Kluyveromyces lactis: one gene and its partners. The protein of the gene in region 2 interacts with the protein of the main gene of each other region in a biochemical or structural test. Links are inferred from orthologs where the notes say so. Each region holds a gene or a part of one and is shown on either strand. Other genes may lie near its edges. The genes, in order: TUB2, STU1 and SLK19.

The links.
Region 1: the proteins of STU1 (region 2) and TUB2 form a complex in vitro, tested with the Saccharomyces cerevisiae proteins (2 studies listed by BioGRID, with this or other methods). The link is inferred for Kluyveromyces lactis from reciprocal best matches to the Saccharomyces cerevisiae genes STU1 and TUB2.
Region 3: the proteins of STU1 (region 2) and SLK19 form a complex in vitro, tested with the Saccharomyces cerevisiae proteins (2 studies listed by BioGRID). The link is inferred for Kluyveromyces lactis from reciprocal best matches to the Saccharomyces cerevisiae genes STU1 and SLK19.

What each region holds. Positions count from the first base shown.
Region 1 is NC_006040.1:454,736-461,399, forward strand, and holds TUB2 (beta-tubulin), read right to left. Parts: upstream 1,876-6,664; coding exon 526-1,875; downstream 1-525. Other genes in the region: PER33 (Per33p), read left to right, coding at 3,137-4,003; Rab family GTPase YPT1, read left to right, coding at 4,761-5,375; SND2 (Snd2p), read right to left, coding at 5,691-6,236. UniProt on the Saccharomyces cerevisiae protein: Tubulin is the major constituent of microtubules, a cylinder consisting of laterally associated linear protofilaments composed of alpha- and beta-tubulin heterodimers.
Region 2 is NC_006038.1:1,077,294-1,084,926, forward strand, and holds the start of STU1 (Stu1p), read right to left. Parts: upstream 3,963-7,633; coding exon 1-3,962. Other genes in the region: KLLA0_B12353g (uncharacterized protein), read left to right, coding at 4,730-4,984; RIB1 (GTP cyclohydrolase II), read right to left, coding at 5,159-6,073; OCT1 (metalloendopeptidase), read right to left, coding at 6,836-7,633.
Region 3 is NC_006042.1:63,645-70,711, forward strand, and holds SLK19 (Slk19p), read left to right. Parts: upstream 1-2,322; coding exon 2,323-4,209; downstream 4,210-7,067. Other genes in the region: PEX25 (Pex25p), read left to right, coding at 1-479; TOA1 (transcription initiation factor IIA large subunit), read right to left, coding at 885-1,574; KLLA0_F00792g (glyoxylate reductase), read left to right, coding at 4,961-6,142; GTPase-activating protein BEM3, read left to right, coding at 6,892-7,067. UniProt on the Saccharomyces cerevisiae protein: Has a role in spindle assembly and stability. Required to ensure a timely exit form mitosis. Essential to maintain pre-anaphase spindle polarity. Associates to the plus ends of the microtubules at the kinetochore and spindle midzone.

The DNA of each region.
Region 1 (6,664 bases), on a different chromosome or scaffold from region 2:
GTTCTTGGTATGTTTCGTTGATCTGTGAAATGATTGATCAGGCCTGGGGAAGAGGATAAGTCATTGAAACATTCACATACTACTGTGTTGACATCTGAGTCAAATATATCATGAAGAATCACGTATTATAATGTGAAGACTAAAATTATGTAGTAAGATATGATATTATTAAAAAAAAATAGAAACAAATACTAAAGAAATGTTTTGGGTCACATTGATAGTACATATCATTGAGCAGAGAAACAAAAAGCATATAAATTATAGTAAGGGTGGTATCATATTTCGAAATTTTCCGCTTCTACTAGTGGTGTGGGGAATAGTATTAGAATAGTAGAAGTAACGAAAGGAAAACTATAAGAAGAAAGAAAATATCTTTCTGAAGTACATTGTTTATTGTTTATCTCGTGTCCAAATAATTTGCTTTCAGTGGTACTGCTCTCAAAATGATAAACTTATCTTCTGTACACATCTGATCTTTGTTCCTTATTCCTTTTTTTTTCCTGCTGAAGTTTTCCTTTATATTCTTTACTCGAAGTTTTCAGCCATTGGTTGTTCGTCAACGAATTCCAATTCTTCGTCATCTTCAACAGTAGCATCTTGATATTGTTGGTATTCACTTACTAAGTCATTCATGTTAGATTCAGCTTCAGAAAATTCAATTTCTTCCATACCTTCATTAGTATACCAATGCAAGAAAGCTCTCTTCTTGAACATAACACTAAATTGATCTCCGACCCTTCTGAATAATTCTTGGATGGATGTAGAGTTACCAATGAAAGTAGCAGACATGTCTAAGTCCTTTGGAGGTACAGAACAGACGGCTGTTTGCACGTTGTTTGGAATCCATTCTACGAAGTACGACGAGTTTCTAGTTTGAACCTTATGCATTTCATCTTCAACTTCTTTCACGCTTACTTTACCACGGAAGAATGCAGCAACAGTCAAGTACCTTCCGTTTCTTGGATCAGATGCAGCCATCATATTTCTTGAATCGAACATTTGTTGGGTCAATTCTGATACAGATAGGGATCTGAAAGATTGGGCACCAATCGAGGTTAATGGAGCATAACCAACCATGAAGAAGTGTAATCTTGGGAAGGGCACCAAATTCACGGCCAATTTTCTTAGATCTGAGTTCAATTGACCTGGGTAACGTAGGGATGTAGTGACACCAGACATGACACTTGAAACTAAATGGTTCAAGTTCGCATAATCTGGTTGTGGTAATTTTAGAGTAGTTTGACATATATCGTAAAGGGCTTCATTATCGATACAGAAAGTTTCATCAGCGTGTTCGACTAATTGGTGTACAGATAGAGTGGCATTGTATGGTTCTACAACGGTATCTGAAGTCTTTGGGGATGGGACAACGGAGAAAGTAGCCATCATTCTGTCAGGGAATTCTTCTCTGATCTTAGAGATCAACAAAGTACCCATACCAGAACCGGTACCACCACCAAGGGAATGGGCGATTTGGAAACCTTGCAAAGAGTCACAACCTTCAGCTTCACGTCTGACAACGTCCATGACAGAATCCACCAATTCAGCACCCTCAGTGTAATGACCTTTAGCCCACACGTTACCTGCTGAAGATTGACCGAAAATGTAGTTATCTGGTCTGAACAAAGTACCAATCTTAGAGTTACGTACAGCATCAATGGTACCAGGTTCCAAATCAATGTTAACGGATCTTGGAACCCATTTACCAGAAGAGGCTTCGTTAAAGTAAACGTTCAATCTAGCCTTTTGAATATCATCGATACCGTGATAGTTACCTTCAAAATCCAAACCGTGTTCACCACAAATAGTTTCCCAAAACGCAGCACCAATTTGGTTACCACATTGACCTGTGGACAAATGAATGATCTCTCTCATGTTTTAGAATATCTCTGAGCGCGTTATTGATCTGATCTCAAAAAATGACAATTGAAGAAACACAGCACAGGCAAATTGTAGAAAGACTTGGTGTTGATACAATCGAGGGGTATCTATAATCCAGTAATTGTTGATCCTTGTTCTTTCAAGAAAAAAAAATAATTATGCGATCTCTCTGTCCTTTACAAGAAAAAAGTGAAATATAATATGGGTAAAAATAGTAGTCTTGTCCACAGTATATTAAACAAACAAACTAACAAATCGAAATAGACGAGTTCTCACAGCTGTTATCTATAAAGTTATCTCTAACCCGTGCAAGCCTGTTCACAATCACGTCTGTGTTCACTTATTTAACCACTTTAAATTGTTTATTTATTTGTTTTTATTTGTTTATTTTTTTCCTCCTTCTCTTTCCTCATATCTTTGTTTGTATTTTGATCTTTGTTTCACTTCTTTAGGCAATTTTCGAGCACGTCTATTTCCCTTTGTGGGTTGCTAAGTGTGCGGGTAATACGGGAAACGGAAACTTACATCGCGTGATTTGCACGTGACTGTGATGTGTGAATTCCTGCGTAGTGTCAGTTCATCTAAAGACAAGAGTTGAGGTTGCAAGTGAGCAACACATTCCCCTAAGATTTAGAATAGTTGTCGAAGTGTTCCATGAGTCCAAAGACTGAACAGACTATTTTCTCGGATCATTTTCTTCACAGCTGACTTTCCGTATATGATAGAATCATACGGAAACTGGAATACTGCAATTTTCCCTAACTTTCGATTCTAGCTGACATTTAAAGACGATGTGAAAATTTAAAGAGAAACGGATTTCAGGATTAGGAAATTTAAAGAGGGAAAAAACGTCCAGTACAGTTTGTTAAGAGAAGGAAACCTATTAGTTGGAGAAGCGAAAGAGGGTTTGACTAGTTGGAATTGATCTGTCCAGTGCTACATTTTTATGTATATAGTAATCGGAAGGTTACTTTGATTAAGCTACGGTATTCTATTTCGAACCGAATCGAATCGGATCAGGTTAGCAGGTCTCTTTTTTTTTTTTTTTTCTTATATTTTTGGCTATCAATTGATTAACTGATTGTGTATTGAAGACGAAAGCTGTTTACATATTTAGCTTTTCAAGGTGTTTTTGTCATCGTTGATTGTGAACTCTTAACTTAGCGGCTCAATAGCAGTTGATTATCTCGTCTCCAAAAGAACTTTCGTGAGTTAGTTACTAAGGTTTCATTTTAAAGGTTTTCTTTTCAAGAAGATGTCTGAGGGAAGTGGCAATGGCAGTGGTAATCGTTATTCCAATGCTGCCGGTCAAAATGGAGGCAACAGGCCTGCTCAGAGACCTGTAGCCCCTCTGAGTGCTGTGTTCCGTACGAAGTTGAAACAGCCTCAGTTCTATTGGTTCCTTGGTCACACGTTATGCTTATACTATTATATCCAATATATGCTCTCATTCCGAGAACAAAGTGTAAAGACAAATTACAGGAAGATCATGCTATACACAGTGATCAGTTATGGGATTGTGCTTCACCAATATGTGAAATCAAAACAGTTAAGATTCCAGTGGTCGAATTTAAAACAGCAGATCAGACAGTTGGATAACCTACAATATTTTACACTTTCCATTGTTCTTTTGATATGTTCTCTATCAGGAGGGAAAACTTTAACTCAAACTGAATCATCTATGGTTATATACTCTTTGTTCCATGCATTGAATTATTTCAAAGAGAATGTATTGCCATTCATTCCAATGAACCCCATGTTAAAAGGTTCATTGTCAAATAAAATCTCGTATTTCATCACCAATTTCAACGGGTCTTTCTTCCATGCTGCAGTGATGTCAGAACTTGTAACGATGTGCAAAGTGTGTCTCATGCTGCCCATACAGTTAATCTCTGTGCTTATCACATTCAATGCCAAGAGTTTATTCACACTTCTATCAATCTGGGCATACGCTATATTCTTTAAGTTAAGATACAATCAAAGTGAACAAATGAGGTTGCTATGTAACCAGAACCAAATGATGATTGAAAACTTCATCTCAACTCGTTTGCCTATGTTCATGGACAAATGGTTAGGCATTAAACATTTGGCTAAAGTCTTCTTTGATAGAATCCTTGCTTGAAAACGCTAGAACCAGTTAGAAACTCGAAACTTAAGTTCATTCATAGAGTCTTCCTGCAAGTTAGTCAGTAGAGCATCTAGATATACACATGCATACATATATATGTATCTTAACTTAGAAAAAACTCATCCAAGCAAAGATTCTTGCATTCGCATCTTACATCCTGTGAGATTTTGTAGAGTTTCACATCTCCCCTAAAGATTACTACGAATCATTCCTATCAGTTACCTGAACTTTGTAATGTCTTCATCCATTTCATTACTTGTCCGAAATAGTTCAGTGTAGTGTAACAGGTTCATTACTGATCTATATCAACAACACTGTGTATTTCTGTGTCACGTGATGGTAATCTTTTGTGGAATCTTTTCCGTTCAGGAGAACAAAATTCAAACAGTGAAACCTGGACCGAAATACATTCTATTAAGCAACAATAGCATAGTTTCAGTTATTCCAAATGCGGTTTGATAAGACGCTTGCTTTTTTTCTGGTTACTGTTGCATATTTACTGAAAGCTTAACTAAAGGATAGACTTTTATTTTGGGGTTGTTATCATATTTTATCTTATACTTCCTTTACTCATTTTCTTTAACGGAGAGATATTAACAACGAGGGATACAGAAAGGTGTGTTTAAAATAGAGAAATATTGTAAACTTACAACGCAGTCCATCCAATCACAACTTACAAAAGGAGCCCATATTTTTTAACAAACAGTCGAATCGTATCAGTCGCTATAAACTACAAGCAAACAAAGAAAAAATGAATACCGAATACGATTATTTGTTCAAATTATTGTTGATTGGTGATTCCGGTGTTGGTAAATCTTGTTTATTGTTAAGATTTGCCGATGATACCTATACCAACGACTATATATCCACCATCGGTGTTGATTTCAAGATCAAGACTGTTGAGTTAGATGGCAAAACTGTTAAGCTACAAATTTGGGATACTGCCGGTCAGGAAAGATTCAGAACTATTACATCTTCTTACTACCGTGGTGCCCACGGTATAATTATCGTTTACGATGTAACAGACCAAGAATCCTTCAACAACGTCAAGACATGGTTGCAAGAAATCGACCGTTTCGGTACAGCTGGTGTGTTGAAGTTACTAGTTGGTAACAAGAACGATTTGACAGATAAGAAGGTGGTTGACACCGAAGTTGCTAAAGAGTTCGCAGATTCTATTGGAATTCCATTCATCGAAACCAGTGCACTAGATTCTTCTAACGTTGAGGAGGCCTTCTTGATCATGACCAAGCAAATCAAGGAAAGTGTCGCCAAACAACAAAAAGATAATGGTAGAGCTGAAGACAAGTCCAACGTCAACTTAAAGGGCCAATCATTGACTGGATCCAATGGTGGTTGTTGCTAAATTGGATAGCATCATCGCTATGTTACTATACACTAAGTGTCTGAAAAATCAGGAACTGAATTTAAGAACTGTCTGATAATTACCATATTTCGAAGAATTAATATCCCGTATACATCACAAACAACATTAAGCACCATTTGCCCCACATAGCTTTAACGAAAGAGCCGGTGGTTGTCTATTTAGAGCCTATTATAGTTAGACTTAATTTCAATTACAATCATTATTCCTTTCTTTCTTACTTTCTCTATATATAAGAGAATGTATTCGTAGATATATGATGGATATAGTATATACAACCCCTTCTCTAACATTAATCTATCGGTATCTTACCTGAGATTTATCACCACGTTTTTCCCTCTTCAATTGTCTCTTTGATTTGGAAGGTTCAGCGGGCGTTGTCTCTGCGAGATCCGCCTTTGAAGCTGAGGCACCGGGGAAATACTGTTGCTTCAAGTAGTACAACTTGTAGAAAATAAACGCAGGGCACACTAATACCAAGAACCACCATTTCATCGTGTTGAAGAAAACTGTTCCCAGGTTACAGAACAAGGAAACATACACGATATCTTTCATGTATTCAGTGAGTCCACCAGATTCCAAATCGAACCCTTCATTAACTAGTTTATATTTTCCATGCGCAGCGTTACTGACTTCATATTTTGGTCTACCGGTACGTTCGAGAATATATAAACATAACAACATCGGCACATTGAAAAGAATAGGTTTTAGGGTTGAAATCAGCCCATTACTGAACCATTTCCTCAATAACGTTAAAGATAGTATAGCGACGACTAGTACGTGCAACTGCTTTAAGATGGCTGCGTTCTTTGCAGCAATCTTCTTGGACGATTTTCCAGCCATTCTACAATGGGTGGGTGAGATTCTTCAGAGATAGAGATAGATGTACATAAATGTACTGTCGAATATTAACCTGATCTATTAATACCTTCCCGTTGCTTCAATGATAGTTGATGATGATCCACGTAACATATATTCACGTATAGATTTCAACTGCCGAGTCATTATAATCCGGGTAACGTACATATATGTCACGTGATTTTGAATATACACATTAATATACGGAGGATTAAGACGATATGCGGTCATAATGAATTGTAAAATAAACCAGATGTACTAACATCCAGAGATCGATAACTGCCTCATGAATACAATATACTACGATATAACTATTCTACCGACAGCCTACCAACGTTATATCAAACTTCCAGCCTTCACAAAGCCTTCAATTGCAAGTCCGCCCCTCCAGCTGTACAGTGAATCCCACGTAA
Region 2 (7,633 bases):
GATATCAACTGGCTGTATATGGTAGCAAGAGCGGTGCAGGATGCAAATCGCCACTCAGCAACATCGCTTGGTGTATATCTGGAGATTGTTTTAGCGAGATCCCGTAGGACATCTACAGAGAGTAAATTGCCCATCGAACTAATGATACCATTGATTGTCTCTAGTAAGAAGCTGATTTTGACAATGTACTGCTCCTTTGTATCGCATAATGCTTTCAAGCATTTCTCCAAGAAGCTCGGTAGATGTTTGTTGTTGTCTTGAGACAATAAAAGGGTTCTCAGTTCGGTGCAAGCGAAGTATATTTCATTCTCGAAAGTATCGAGCTTAGCAACTAGCGATATAATGTGTTCGAACAGTTGGCTTATGCTTGAATCTTTCAATACTGTATGCTCAAGTTCATCATCAATCGTTAGTAGACAAGCAGTGAGAATGATTGATTTATATGCAATATTTGTAGGAATCTGTGATTCTGATGAACTTGATGAAAGTAATAATTCAGTTATTGCCCAAACATCCTTCAGTTCGTGCTGATCGTGTATCCATTCTAAGACCTCTTGATCGTAGCATAAGAAACATTTCAAGATATATTGCAATTCATTCATTTTGAAAGTGCCATTGTTTATAATCGACTGGACTATCAATTTCAGCTGCGTCAAATTTACGATGCCTATGGAAGCATCGATAAATTTCAATTCAAACGAAAACAACGAATCATTGGCAAAATGAGCAAGGTTGATAGGTTTGAATGTTTTGGGGTCGGAAACAGAACCCATGTTAGTACCAAGAGTTTTAATATCATCTTCAGATCTATTTGCAACCGACCCATCATTTGTCTTGATTTCTATGCCATTTATCGCATCACTTAACATGTCGGAATCGTAATCATGTCTTGGATCATTATTTAATTCCTGAGGCTTGAATATAGGTGATACTGATCCTTCTTGATGTTGATTTTTCAAAAAAATGTCTGTAAGCAATGACTTTTGATCCAAATTAGATTCATCAGGTGAATCGACCTCCATAGGATCAACATTTTCATCCACTGTTTCAGGCTGGAAAACACTGTGCACTTTTGTCATCTCTGTTAACTTTGAGAATCCTCCAAACTTTGTAAAGCCATGTGACTCTTCATGGTCTCTAATTTCTTCATGATCCACAACATCTGATCCGTTTTTTTTAGTGTCGTCATTATCTGAATCAGAAGGCGAATCTGCTACAAAAGATACAGTGTTAACAGAATTTTTGGCAACAGGTGGCACCGTAACAAGGTCCTCCTTCTCTGAGTGGTTGTCTTCGTCAGCAATGATATTAGGATTACTTTCACTTTCGTCTAAACCTTCCAGTGAGTTATGTATAACTGTATTAGAGCTGACAGTTCTTTTGCCCAATGGATTTACCATGGTCATTTCAAGTAAATGATGTTCTTCAGGAGAAACTATAGGTTCAGGCACTGAAGGATAATTCAATATGCTTTTTATTTTGAACTCTGAATCTTTTTTCTGAATAACATTGGCGATTTTCAATTTAGTTGATGCAGTCGATGTTGATTTCAATAAACGTACGAATTTAGTTTTATCTGCAAGATAGATGTTTAAAATTAACTTATAATATTTCTCGGCATCCATATCTTTTCCGCAAGCATTAATTAATTCGTTTATCAGTTGATCTGAAAGGGTAACCGTATTGAGCATTTTTGCTATAGTATTGAAACAGAAATTGTATATCTGATATTTGAATCGCACATAAAATATAGACCATTCAGAGTTTTTATCCTCCAATGATTGTAATATTGAAATAACATTGTTTATAATATCATATGTTTTGAATTGAGTTTCAATCATCGAGATATCGAGGTCATTTAATGGCAATAAAACCATAGAAAAATTTAAAGGAATCAGTTGGTAGAATTTTGGTAAATGCAAAAGGGGTTTGAAGGCTTTGGGGTTAGTTCTTATCAACGACACTATTGCAGATTGGACCTTCTCTTCATCGCCGATTTTGGTATCCGATAATAAATACTTTTGTAGTAAATCCAATCCCAGTTTAGGGTCCTTGGATAAAATGACATGAAGAGGTTCTGGTTCAACCTCTTCTCTCTTCATGTAGCGATTCAACAACGGATTTGTTTGTGAATTTGTCAACTCACTTGTTAAATCAATATTCATATCATGATCCGGAGGTGTACGTAACGATCTTTTGCTAAACGATTGCGTCCCTTGAGCTAAATCCGTTAATGATCTTTTTATTGACGATCTAGGTAAATGGGACGATTGAGTCGGAGCAGCATAACTGGGGAATCGTTTTGGCAGTAAGCTTGACCTTCTTGACGATTCCTTTGATTGAGGAGGGATAGCTGCCTCATAATTGATATCCAAATGGGTAGGAATACTATTTTCTAGAGCTCTTTTGATCTGAGGTTGGAAAAGGTTTAGCATTTTCTTGCCACTCATTGGTGAGACTTTGAACCAGTACCAGAATGTAATTCTCATGGACTCCCTTATGGTTGTCTGAGCGTCTGTTAACCCTTTTTGCAACCATTCCTCGACGTAGACATGATGTTGCGATATCAACCTCTTATGGAACCTTACTATTAGAATTCTGAGGAAAGTGGAAGAATATAGCCTTGATACGTTATTTTTATCTCTGATTAACGCAAAACAGTGATTGAATAGTCGTGAATGGAATGGGACAGTAGATAGTAACGTTATGAGACAAATAAACGCATTTTGATTGGCGATTTTCTTGGTATTTGACATCAATTTGGCAAGGCATGACCAAAGGTTTTCGATAATTGAGATATCCAACATGGAATTGAAAACACAGCAAAGGTCTTTCACCAAGCTGCAACCGTGGGTACAAAGAGAAGTTCTTAACGAAAGGGCCGATTTAGTGACGCAGTATTGTAAATTTAGATCTTTCCATAGTTCTAAAAATTTGTCCGGGAATTCAATGGAAACGTTTCCTAAGACAATGGATCGAAGTTTGGTAACATTTGTCTGTCTAATTTTCCAATTCTGTTCTGTTTCCCTTGAACCTTCAAACGCTGGTAGCATTGACTCCAAATCTTTTATAAGATAACTCAAGTTGCTGTATGAGATTGGCTCTGGGGCAGGTACCGTGGGAAATTGCGGCGCCTGATGCATAATGGATTGTAATTCATTTTGTAAGTTGAAAACTTGGGAATTAATGCTATTTGTATGGGTGATAGACCTATCAAAATCATCTTTCATATCGCTCTCGGAGCCATGATTATTAAGTTTCCCCACCAAACGAGACTTGAAAACTTTCGCTGCACTTTCTCGAATCACTGAATCGACCATACTTCGTACCATAGGCTCGGGGCATCGGTTGGCTACGATATCGTATATCAACTCTATGTCTGTATTCGATATCGAATCATTGGTGTTCATCTCTTGGACCCAAAATGGTATAAATTTTTGCAAGAACATCGAACCGTTTCTCCCGTTGCTCGATTCCATTCTTGCCAACTCATCGATTAGCAACAACACGTTCGTGCGTATGGATCCATTATACGCTATTGATTCGTTCAACACCTGACAAAACTCATTAGGCTTTGCCAAATATATAGCTTCCAATGCCTTCACGGAACTTTGCCAGACTTTCTTATCTGCAAAAGGTATACTGAACAAAGTCGAAACGATTAGCTCGATAAGATCATGCTGGAACTTATGTTGTGCTTGCATTGCAACACGTTTAATCAAATAACACAGAGCTGAATGAGCTAATGCGAACACTACGTCATCTCCATCGTTACCACGTCGCCTATTTGAGCCTCGTTCCACCAGTAACCTGCTTAAATTCTCGAAATATTTCACACACACTTGCTCATTGACCAAAGTCTTCTTCACATGAGCCTTGAACTGGGTCAATATATCCAGTTTCCTCTCAGCTGACAAAAGCTCATCGGACAAACCGTCCAACCCATTAAACTCGTCACTCATGTAAACCTGTATCTTCTGTTTGAAGAGGATCACAATTGTATTAACAGCAGGAGAAAAACTAGGTTAAACACTTAGTAGCGGTAAAAGGTAGTTGATCCAGTGTGATAATCCGGTATAGATGTGTCTACAATTTATGATCCAGTTTGTTTAACAATGTGTTTCCATTATTGATACTTTAGAGATTTCTGTTATTGGTAAACAAATTGAAAGCCGTGTGGTACGCTTGTTTCTGAGCCACTTCCACAAAAGAGGAAAAACACCACAAATGATGGGAAGAAAATATAGGTCACGTGCATTCACGTGACTCGCACCTTACACAATCAAAGTCCCTGGCCCATTGTGTTCGTTTGCGTTGCTTCTTCGACTTTTTCTTTCCTTTTTCTTCCCTTTTCCATGATTACGATTACCGATGCAGTGCTTTTTGATTTTATCATCAACTATGGTAACGATGATGCATGCAATAAGTTAGGATCAGATTAAGTAAAGGTGTCTGTCTCTTTTGCTTACGTTTTCTGTTTCCTTTGATTTGTATATATATATATATATATATATATATATATATATATTATTATTATTAATTGCGTTTTCAATACTCTAAGTTTAATTCTCAGTTAAGTTAGCATCCGTTTCAGAGGTATAAGATAGTTATTATCTGTTTAAAGAATCGGGATCTGAAACTTATAAAGTGAATCAGTACCACGTAAAGCTATTACGTATCGCAGAGTTAGAATCGAATTATCAATTAGAATTACAAAAATTTACCAAAGATGTCTATGTATAAGTTGAATGGGATGAATATGACACACTCTACTGGATCCTTCTTGAATAGTGCGCCAGTAGAGTTGACTAGTATTAAGGGGTATCAAGATTTCATTGCTAAGCAAAAGAAGTTGAAGAACCAAGTGACCACTCAGTTGAGTGAGGATAAGAGTGTTGGTTACGTGTTGAACGATTCCGAGGTGCTTGCTACCGTTTCTGGTGAAGCCAAGGATTATCTTTTGGCACTAAGTGGTGAGAATTAGAAGGGTGTGTATCTCATCAATTGATGGAAGTATCCGCTGATAGAATCAATTAGATATATATATATATATACATGTACGTGTGTACAAGGTTTTTTATTTTAATGTACTTTCTGATTGGAAAACTTATTAATATGTGGTATACTATGTGTGTTGTATTTAGGTTTCCTCAAAACCTCAGGCAATAGGAGTAGATTGGTGGTTTGTATCATTATTTGTATGTAGCGTTAATGGTTTTTGTAAGAGATGGCCCATTCTTTCGATTTTTGTTCTCAAATAGCCTTCTATTTCCTTTGAATGGATCCCATCCTTATGGTTACCAGACCACGACAAGGGTACCATTGGAACACGCTCGACGCAATGTAGATATGGCGCCTGTTCCACTTGTGCTACTTTATCCGGGTTGTTCGTAAGTAATCTGACGTTTGAGATCCCCAAATCGATTAGTATTGCCCTACCTATGGAGAAATCCCGACCATCTGCTGGATGTTTTAACAGCAAGTTGGCCTGCACTGTGTCTGCACCAAGGTCCTGTAAATTGTAAGCCTTTAATTTCTCTCCGAGCCCAATACCCCGGCCCTCTTGTCTTAAATATACGATTACACCATGGCCGTTGCCTCCAACGATATCACCCTCACGTTCCACAGAGATCAGTTTCCCTGCTCTATCGAATTGTTCCCCACAATCACACCTCGCACTCCACGCCGTTTCTCCAGTGTAACACTCCGAATGAATTCTGACTAGCGTATCCTTGTCGCACCATGTCGTATTAGGCTCCACTACGAGTTCTCCAGTCTTTTCATCGAATGAAAGTGAGAGTCCTTGTTTCTCATCCACATCTGCTTTAACTCGGCCAGGGTATAATTTTCCAACGTATGCGCCTCTAATCATGCGCTCTTCCTGCGTCTCGCCTGCGTTTCTCCTGAACAACGACCTGGACCGAATATTCTCTCCGAAGACTATAGCCAGATGTTCCTTGTTGTCTCTGTCGTTCTGGTACAAGTGTAGAAAGATATCTGGACCTTGCACTGTGGGTATTCTTGCTCTTGCAATACACTGAACTTTTGGTAAATCAGACATGGCGCTGGTCATTTCTGGTACACACTTCTCGTTTGCTAGAAAAGAGAACTCAACAAATTATCTAATACAAGAGTACCCAGTATATATAATACCTTCAATGTGACGAAAGGATATTACTTTTGATTTGAAATGACTATTTGGAATTTGTCAAATTTCAAATTCGAAATTTATAAGTCTTAACAATGGAAAGTGACAAATACACAAATTTGACAAATCCATGATTATGGAGAAAAAAAGAGGAAAAGGACGACGGGAGATTACTCCGGGATGGCAGGTCCGATTTCGAGTTAGCTTCTGACTACCGTTGTTCCCTCAATCTTAACACCTTGTTAGTTCAAGAACGAGAGAGGATTCAGTCGTGTCAGGGAAACGTCCTCGGGGGGGGGACCTTTCTTAGTTGAACCGTTTCAATCAATCCAATCAATCCCCATGGTAAATAGGAACTCTTTATAGAAGGAACTCTATCTATGCGCTTAGGCTGGAGAGTGCCATTCGATTCCATTTTGGATTATTAACGTTACCCGACCACACACGTGACATCCTCGGAAAAACTTGTAAAACTTACGTTTTACAAGTTTTTCCGAGGGTAAGGAACTCCGGAATAATTTTCTTTGGAGGGAGACGCAATCGACATTGTCTGTACACAGTTCATTGATTGGAATATCTTCTGAGTTACCTGTACTTGTGTTATATATACATACATATTTACATGGTGCGATGAGACTCATCTTCGTCTCGTCCTAAGTTACAAAACAGATATAACTGGTCTTTCGTTCACATACCAGTCTTAACATCACCGATGTATCTCATACCCCATTCGTCACCCTTGGCTAGTCGTGGCTCATCAAGAACTTGACTTAAAAGGTACCATGGATCACGAGAACCTCCCCACTGTAGTAAACCTTCTTTAAACTTCGTACCATTGGTTCTATTGAATGGATCTTGTTCAAACAAGTGATCCCAGATCTTAGATGCAATGGCTCTGTCGAAGAGATAACTGTAATATGAAGCACCGTATCCAAAAAGATGACCAAATTTACCACACCAGTTGCTCTGATCATCTGGTAATACTGCTAGACGACGTTCTAATCTGTGATAGATAGCAATTACATCGATAGAACCATCTGTGGTGTGATCCAAGTTGTGCAATTCTTGATCTAAGAATGACATCTTGATTTGGGAGAACGTTTCACAGTTCTGTAAAAACTGGTTTTCCAATTGATGATTCTTCAACACTTCGACGTCCAATGATTTACCAGTCTTGTAATGTGATGAAATGGATGATAGAACTCTGGTGTCACGGGCAAAATGTTCCATTAAAATACTAGGTAATTCAACAAAATCAGTGGCACAACGAGTCCCGCTGACATTTTGTAATTGAGTTCTTCCCAACATTGAGTGCATTGCATGTCCCATCTCATGGAATAAAGTTTCAATCTCATTCAATTGCAAGAGACACATTTGTTGGTGTTTCCCATCGCCCATATTGACTTCAACCCATCGGAAGTCACATACAAGTGAAATGACAGGTAACTGGAATTTTTGGCCGTTGCTATTAACGCCCACCTGAAT
Region 3 (7,067 bases), on a different chromosome or scaffold from region 2:
ATAAATCGATGCATGCCTGGGTTTCTAAACACGAAGCTCTCTCATGGTATTACGACATTATGCTAGGGTTGAAGAAAAATTGGGAGAAACTTCAATCAATCAAACAACAGGAATTTGAATTGAAGATCCAGTATCAGGTACGTCAACGCGCATTGGAACTATCCTCAAAATTAAATGCCACCCCATCTGTTGATTCCAATAAGAATACAGCACTTATAAAACAGACTATCTTCGAGAGTTTCAAGCAGGACAACCTAGATTTAGAACTGGAAGTAGTACAAAAACTCAAGAACTACCAGTATGAGAAACGCATTGTCAAGTTTGATCTGACTAGACTATTCTTTGATTTCCTAGCTGATACTACAGATGTGTTCTCTATCAAAACACCACCTGGTACATATGCCATTTTGTCTCTATGCTCTGGTGTACTTGGATTCTCCAAGCTATGGATACAGGCGAAAGAGCAACCAAATGAATGAGTAACATACCCTTTGAAAATGTGTACCAAAAATTTCTTAGTACATTTCCCTGTATAACTCACAAGTAACACAAAGTATCAATAAGCTACAGACAGGCTATATTTTAGTGACTTTTGCAATGCTGCTTAAAAGAAGTGCTCAAAGACATATAACTTTACATGGGTACCTGATTAAGATCCGATTTGGACGGCTTTGCAAGCGATATTATATAAATTATTCTATGAATTATATAGTGTCAGAAGGTTAGAGAATAATGAATTAACATCAATAATGATTAGGAGATATGAACATAAACCTCTATGATAGAAAGTAGGATAGAATAGAAAGGAAAAAAAAATATTAACTTTAGAACCTGAAGTAAAGAGAAAAATAATGCAAGGAGACGGAACTAATGGAAATGGATAATTACCATTCACTTTCTCCCTGGGCTTTCTGGAAAGCAAAGTCTTTATGGTCTATTGTCACTACACCTTCTTTTAAATTACACTTCCACTTATTTTTGACTCTCAGCACCTTGTCATATAGACATAGCATCATATTGACATCTGTGCCCTCATCCTCGACGTCCATGTTGACATAGTCGTCATCGGAGTCATCCAAATCAGAATTGATTTCATCGGTTTCTAATAACGCGGATTTCTTGGCTTGCTTTGCTTGTAATTTCAGCTGTTTAGTCAAATCTCCATCTGGATCATTCATAGAGAACTCTATTTCTTGTTTTGGTTTCATTTCATTATCTTCTATTTGCAGTTCATCATTATTCACCATATCTGAGGACCCATTATTTATATTGCTGCCAATGATATCTGCTTCACCGGCACTAGCAGCAGCTCCAGAATGATTTATGGAATTATCGTTGAATTCGCCGTTTGGTAGTTTAACCACAGGCTCGGCAACTGTTGATGCACTGGTTGTATTTTCTGGGTCCCAAATGAATGTGGCGGCTTTGCTTTCACTTAGTTTCATCTGCCAAATTCGTTTGAGATCTTGCAATGTCTGTTCATCCACTCCCGAATCTTCAAATTCTTGTCTGACATCGTTGATAACAGTCTCGAGCACGGTTTCATATACCTTTGATGCCTCGATATTCGACATATTGGAAAAGTACTTGAAGAGTTTCTTCTTTCTCTAATAATAACAAAAGAATTAAAGACCTTATTAAGCCGTTTATTCTAAAAGCTATTCCGATTCCGACCCGGTACTAGAAATTAAAATAATCCTTCCTTTAATCGTTAAACTGAAATCCTTATATAATAGGATACCGTAAGTTAATTTATAGAGGAGGAACTTCAATCAAAGTTCCAAAGTGTTCAGAAAATCAGTTTCAAAATATGGAGAACGATAGCGCTTTTCTCTGAAAAAATATCTATTGCACAGTTTCCACCCAGGTTTAGTGTCCGCTTCACAAGTAGTTCAGCTACTGATGCGGCTGGTTTCCCTCTCCTCATTGACACTCCATATAAGGTATTGTTATTATTCAGATTTAATTTTCCAGTTTCCATTTCACTGAAAAAATAATAATATGAAATTATATATTACCCGGATATCACGTACTCAGCTTAAATATTCAGTGTTCGATATTTATATGGTAAACATAGGCATAGTAAATAAAAACAGTAACAAAGCTTCATTACGATCGATAAGTGTGTTGTCACAAAAGGCCAGATCCATATCGTCGGTGCCACGATCTGAAGTTCAATATTGTATTACTGCTTCAACGAAATCATTGCAAAGCAAGACAGACACCACTTACATAGTTTCAAAGAGGTGCTAAAATTGAGGTTTTGTTGCGCATCCTATCGTTTCTCGGCGGATAAGTGAAGAGAACACGAGTACAGCACCTATGGATTTCGGAGATAAACCCAAGCTAGAGTTTGCTGGCTCTGGTGATAAGCTTAACTCTCCTATAAGATTGGTTCCTGATGAGAGCAACAAGGAAAACGTACACGCATTGGAAAGCGATGATCAACAGAGCGATAAGGAGCAGACCTACAAGAGAAGTAAAATAGAGTACTCATCCCCAGAAAAGATTGAGATGCTTAATAGTTTATCTCCTATAAAAATAGATATCGAAGGAAATGATGGAATTGAGTCTGATTTGAAAAAATCAGTCGCCACAGCCATTGAAGAAGCAGTGCAAGATTTCAAAAAGGATTCAAAAGCGGAAGAAGATGAAGAAGAGGCATTCGGCAAGTTAAATAATGGATTTCGTGGTTATCATGAATCCTCCACTGCAAACGCTTCTGGATCAGCTGGTTCTGATGCACCACAACATGCTCACTGCCATGAGTCATTGTCACCGATAAGGTCGTATGGTGATAAAGAGATGCCTCTCGACCCATCAGACCCCACAGTCTGGGAGAAGAAGTTTGATGATTTATCATCCGTAATATGGGATAAATATGAAGAGATTAAGTATCTCAATGATACTGTACAGAACTTACGAGAAAGAACAGTAGAAGCGGAATTTAATAAAGAGAGAGACAAATTGGAACTTATCAAATGGGAGCAGAAATATGGCGACGTATTATCAAAACTGTATAGGAGTGAGCATAAACTCGAACAGTTTGATGAATTGAAACTCCAATTTGATAGTGTCAGCAAAAAGTTCGAAGCCTGCAAACAAAAATTGAAAGAGGTCAAAATAGAGTTATCTATGACAAATCAGAACAACCACATTCTATCTGAGAAGTTCGAGAAAGAATATACCAAATTCACTGAGAATGAAAACTTGGTCAATGAATGGAAAGATAAACATGATTCTTTACTATTGGAACTTAATGTGAAGACCAAGGAACTCAAGTCAATTACCGATGAGCTACGCTCGTTAAAGGAACAATATGAACGAAACGAAAACAAGTTGTCTGAAGTTGAAAGTGAAATACAGGAGCTGCGTAAGAAAATGGAAGAAGAGACAATTGTATTCCAAGACACAATTAAACCTAGAGATCTAAGTATAACCGAGCTAAACAAAAAATTACAGCAATTTGAAGCAAATGGTTCAGATGAAGTTAGCTCTTTGAAAAGTAAGCTCCAAATCACTGAAGCAGAATTAGATAGTAAGAAGAATGAAATTGAGTCATTGAATTTGAAGCTCAGTACAAAGGAAACAGCATTAGAAGAGCTTAGGTCACATATCACTCAGGTCACCGAGGATAAAGAGAAATCATTATCTGAGTTAGAGCAGACCAAAAGGGACTTAGACTCTCTTACAAGCAGAAACGGCAACATAGAATCCGAACATTTAGCAGAACTAGAAAGATTACACGAAAATATGTCGCATATGGAAACTAATCTGAAGCAAAACGTCAAAACTATCGCTAATTTAAATGAAACTGTCAACAATTTTGAGAATAAATGTAAATCATTGGAAGCAGAAAATATCGATTTGAAAGCACGTCTAACACAGACAGAAACCAATGTTAACAAATCAGAAACGGATGAACTCCGAGCTAAGATCCAGAAATTGGAAAAAATGGTTGCAGATTCAGAAGCAGAAACTAACAAAAAGTTGCAATTATTAGCTGAAGATCTTTACATCCAATACTCTTCCAAACACGAGCAAAAAGTCAAGATGCTCAAGAAAGGGTACGAAGCCAAATACCAAGACCTGTTGGACAAACTAACAGTCGAAAATAACGCATTGCACGACGAAGTGGATCAATTGCAAAAAGCAGTGGAAATAGAGAGAGCGGAAAAACAAGAGCTAATAAAGTCTCTTGACAACTAATGTGTGTGTATATGAGTACGTACCTATTATAGATCAAATATACTCCGGAGAAATCTGGTTTTCTTACTATCTTCTCTTCCATTCGAACCTTTCCGGTGGCAATTATGTATTTGCTTTCGTTTTGTTTTTCCGTTTTCCAGAGACAAGTTCCCGACGCATGCTCTTTCCAGTATGGGACACTCAATTCGTGAGCATTTCGGGATGTTGTGTTCTGCGCCGATCTCAGCCTATAATAGCCGCACTTTACCGAACTACTGATATCAAGGATGACTATGGGGAACAAATTTCTCGAATGAATGTATCCTTTACTAATGACATAACAATGGATTGATTGATAAATAAAAGTGCATCGCGTCCTCTTGTAATTAGCAGTATTTTAGTTATCAATGAAAAACTTTTCGCCTGCGAGGAGTAATAAGATTGCATTTCTGAATGTGGTGTTGCAAATCCGAATGGCACTTTATCGCACTTCAATCGAACCGCGGTCATGGAAATAATGAATCATGAAAAATAAAAAGCTAAGCTTTGACTGTGACAGATTTTTGGAGGTACATTTAATGAAAATATGACTGCTACATATTAGAGAAGACCATGATATGATGTTTCATATATAAACTATAAATACGTAGTCTTCCCTGACGGAATGCATATTCTCACAGAATATTACACCATTGTCACAAGCATTCTACGGCTGATCCGGTTGTCACAGAAAATATCAATTCGAAAGACAGTACAGCGATAGAATATTGTAATGACAATGACTACCAAATTCAAGATTCTCATTCCCAGAAAGAATAAGAACGATATCGCTTCTGACTCAGCAGAATTCCAAAGAATTGCAGAATTAGTTGATTTCCAATATTATGAATTGACCAATTCTGAAGATTTCAAGAAATTTTTACTCTCAAGCAATATCGATGCTCTTTGGATCACTGAAGAAATGTTTGTGTATTTGGAAGCTCCATCCACGTATTTAGACTATTTCCCTAAATCATTGAAATTGATTTTGGTTCCATGGGTTGGAACAGATTTCTATGACGCGAAATTGTTGAAGGAAAAGTACGGCATCAGTTTGTGTAATGGCGGTCCAGTGGCATCAGAAAACGTTTCTGATTTGGCAGTGTTCTTGACATTGAGTTGCTTCCGTTTGACGTCCTTCTGGGAGCACTCATTCAGGTTTGTTCATAGAGGTAGCATCCAAGAATGTCGAGGATATATCGGAGGTACACACCATGATACTATTCCTGGATTTGCGCTGGTTGAAGGTAACGATGACTTGCATAAGACGGTCTCTGCGCAACAAAAGTTCCCAAAAAAGCCTGAAAACGACAAGTTCTTGAACCTTGCGAAGGATTATAAGATAGCGGGCAAAGTAATGGAATCACCAACAGATAAGAATGCGTTGATTGTTGGTTTTGGTTCCATTGGCCAAGCTATTGGTAAAAAATTGCATACAACTTTTAACATGAATATATCATACACAAAAAGAAATGGCCCTATCCCAGAATCTGTTCTAGGATATAAGGCTAATTATATACCATCCATGGATGATGAAGCGTTCTGGAGAGACGCTGATCTTATAGTACTAGCATTACCTGGAACTCCAGACACAGAAGATATTATTGATAAGACTACATTGGAAAAATGTAAAGACGGTGTGCGTATCGTCAACGTTGGTCGTGGATCTTGTATTAACGAAGATGATTTATTAGATGCATTGGATAGTGGGAAGGTCATGTCAGCTGGCCTTGACGTCTACAAAAATGAATCGGACGTTGTGGATTCAAGATTCTTCGAAAGATGGGATATTACCTTACTTCCACATATTGGCTCCACAGTCATAGAAATACTCCAAAGGCAGACTGCTGCCACGTTAGAGAATATTGAAGGATTCTTCTTGAAAGGAACTGGCACAAAATACCCAGTTAACTAATGTTCTGAATATCTTCAAACTGGCGCTGGAAATGTTGGCTAACAATGATGGAAATATTACTAAAATGAGATGAAAAGTGTATTGATACTGCATAACCACCTTGATATCAACCACTCTTTGAGTTTTGAAGGCCTACTCGTTAAATAATAATAAATCCGAATATATACTGCATTACATAATCCAAGGCGGGGATCAACATTCATTAATTAACTGCTCCCAGCAGGCGTTCTTTCTAAGAACAGAGACTGTTGGCTGGTCGATTATAACATCTACAAAAGATCCAACTCATTATTACCGCCAACTCGTAATATATCCATCTCTGACAGAAGTCACTAAACGCGTTACAAGCCGTCTTCCCTTCGGCTTCCCTTTTATGTCAAGGACATTAAATTTTAGAAACCGTGAAAAATTGAATATCGCGTATCAAAGAATATTTTTCATAAAAGCTACTTTAATATCGTAACGTGTTTATCATTCAAATAGCGTCGTGATAACTTGAACCCTATTTATCAAACAGTACCTAGTATCAGTATCTGAGGTCTACGGAGTGATATATTCTTCAATTTTAGATTTTGCTGGTAAAGTTTGGGGTACAATATATGAAGAGCTTGAGGATATCGTTTTATCTTTAAGAGTATACCCAATCTTTTCACAATTTAGACCATCAGGACAATACGGTGGGCAGAAACAGCTCTTTCTCTGACTCTATCGCATTGAATCCTCATCGTCAGGTCTTTGTATCATTGAAGATGGAGCAATTTAATGACTCCCTTAAAGAAACTACATCATCGACTTTAAAGCTTTTGGAGCAATATGAGAATCATATTCAGGAGAAAGACAGAAATTTAGATTACATAGAAAAAGGTGACTCGAGGTTTACGAAAGATCGCGAAACAGGACCTAGTTACGACGAATGTTTTAAAGA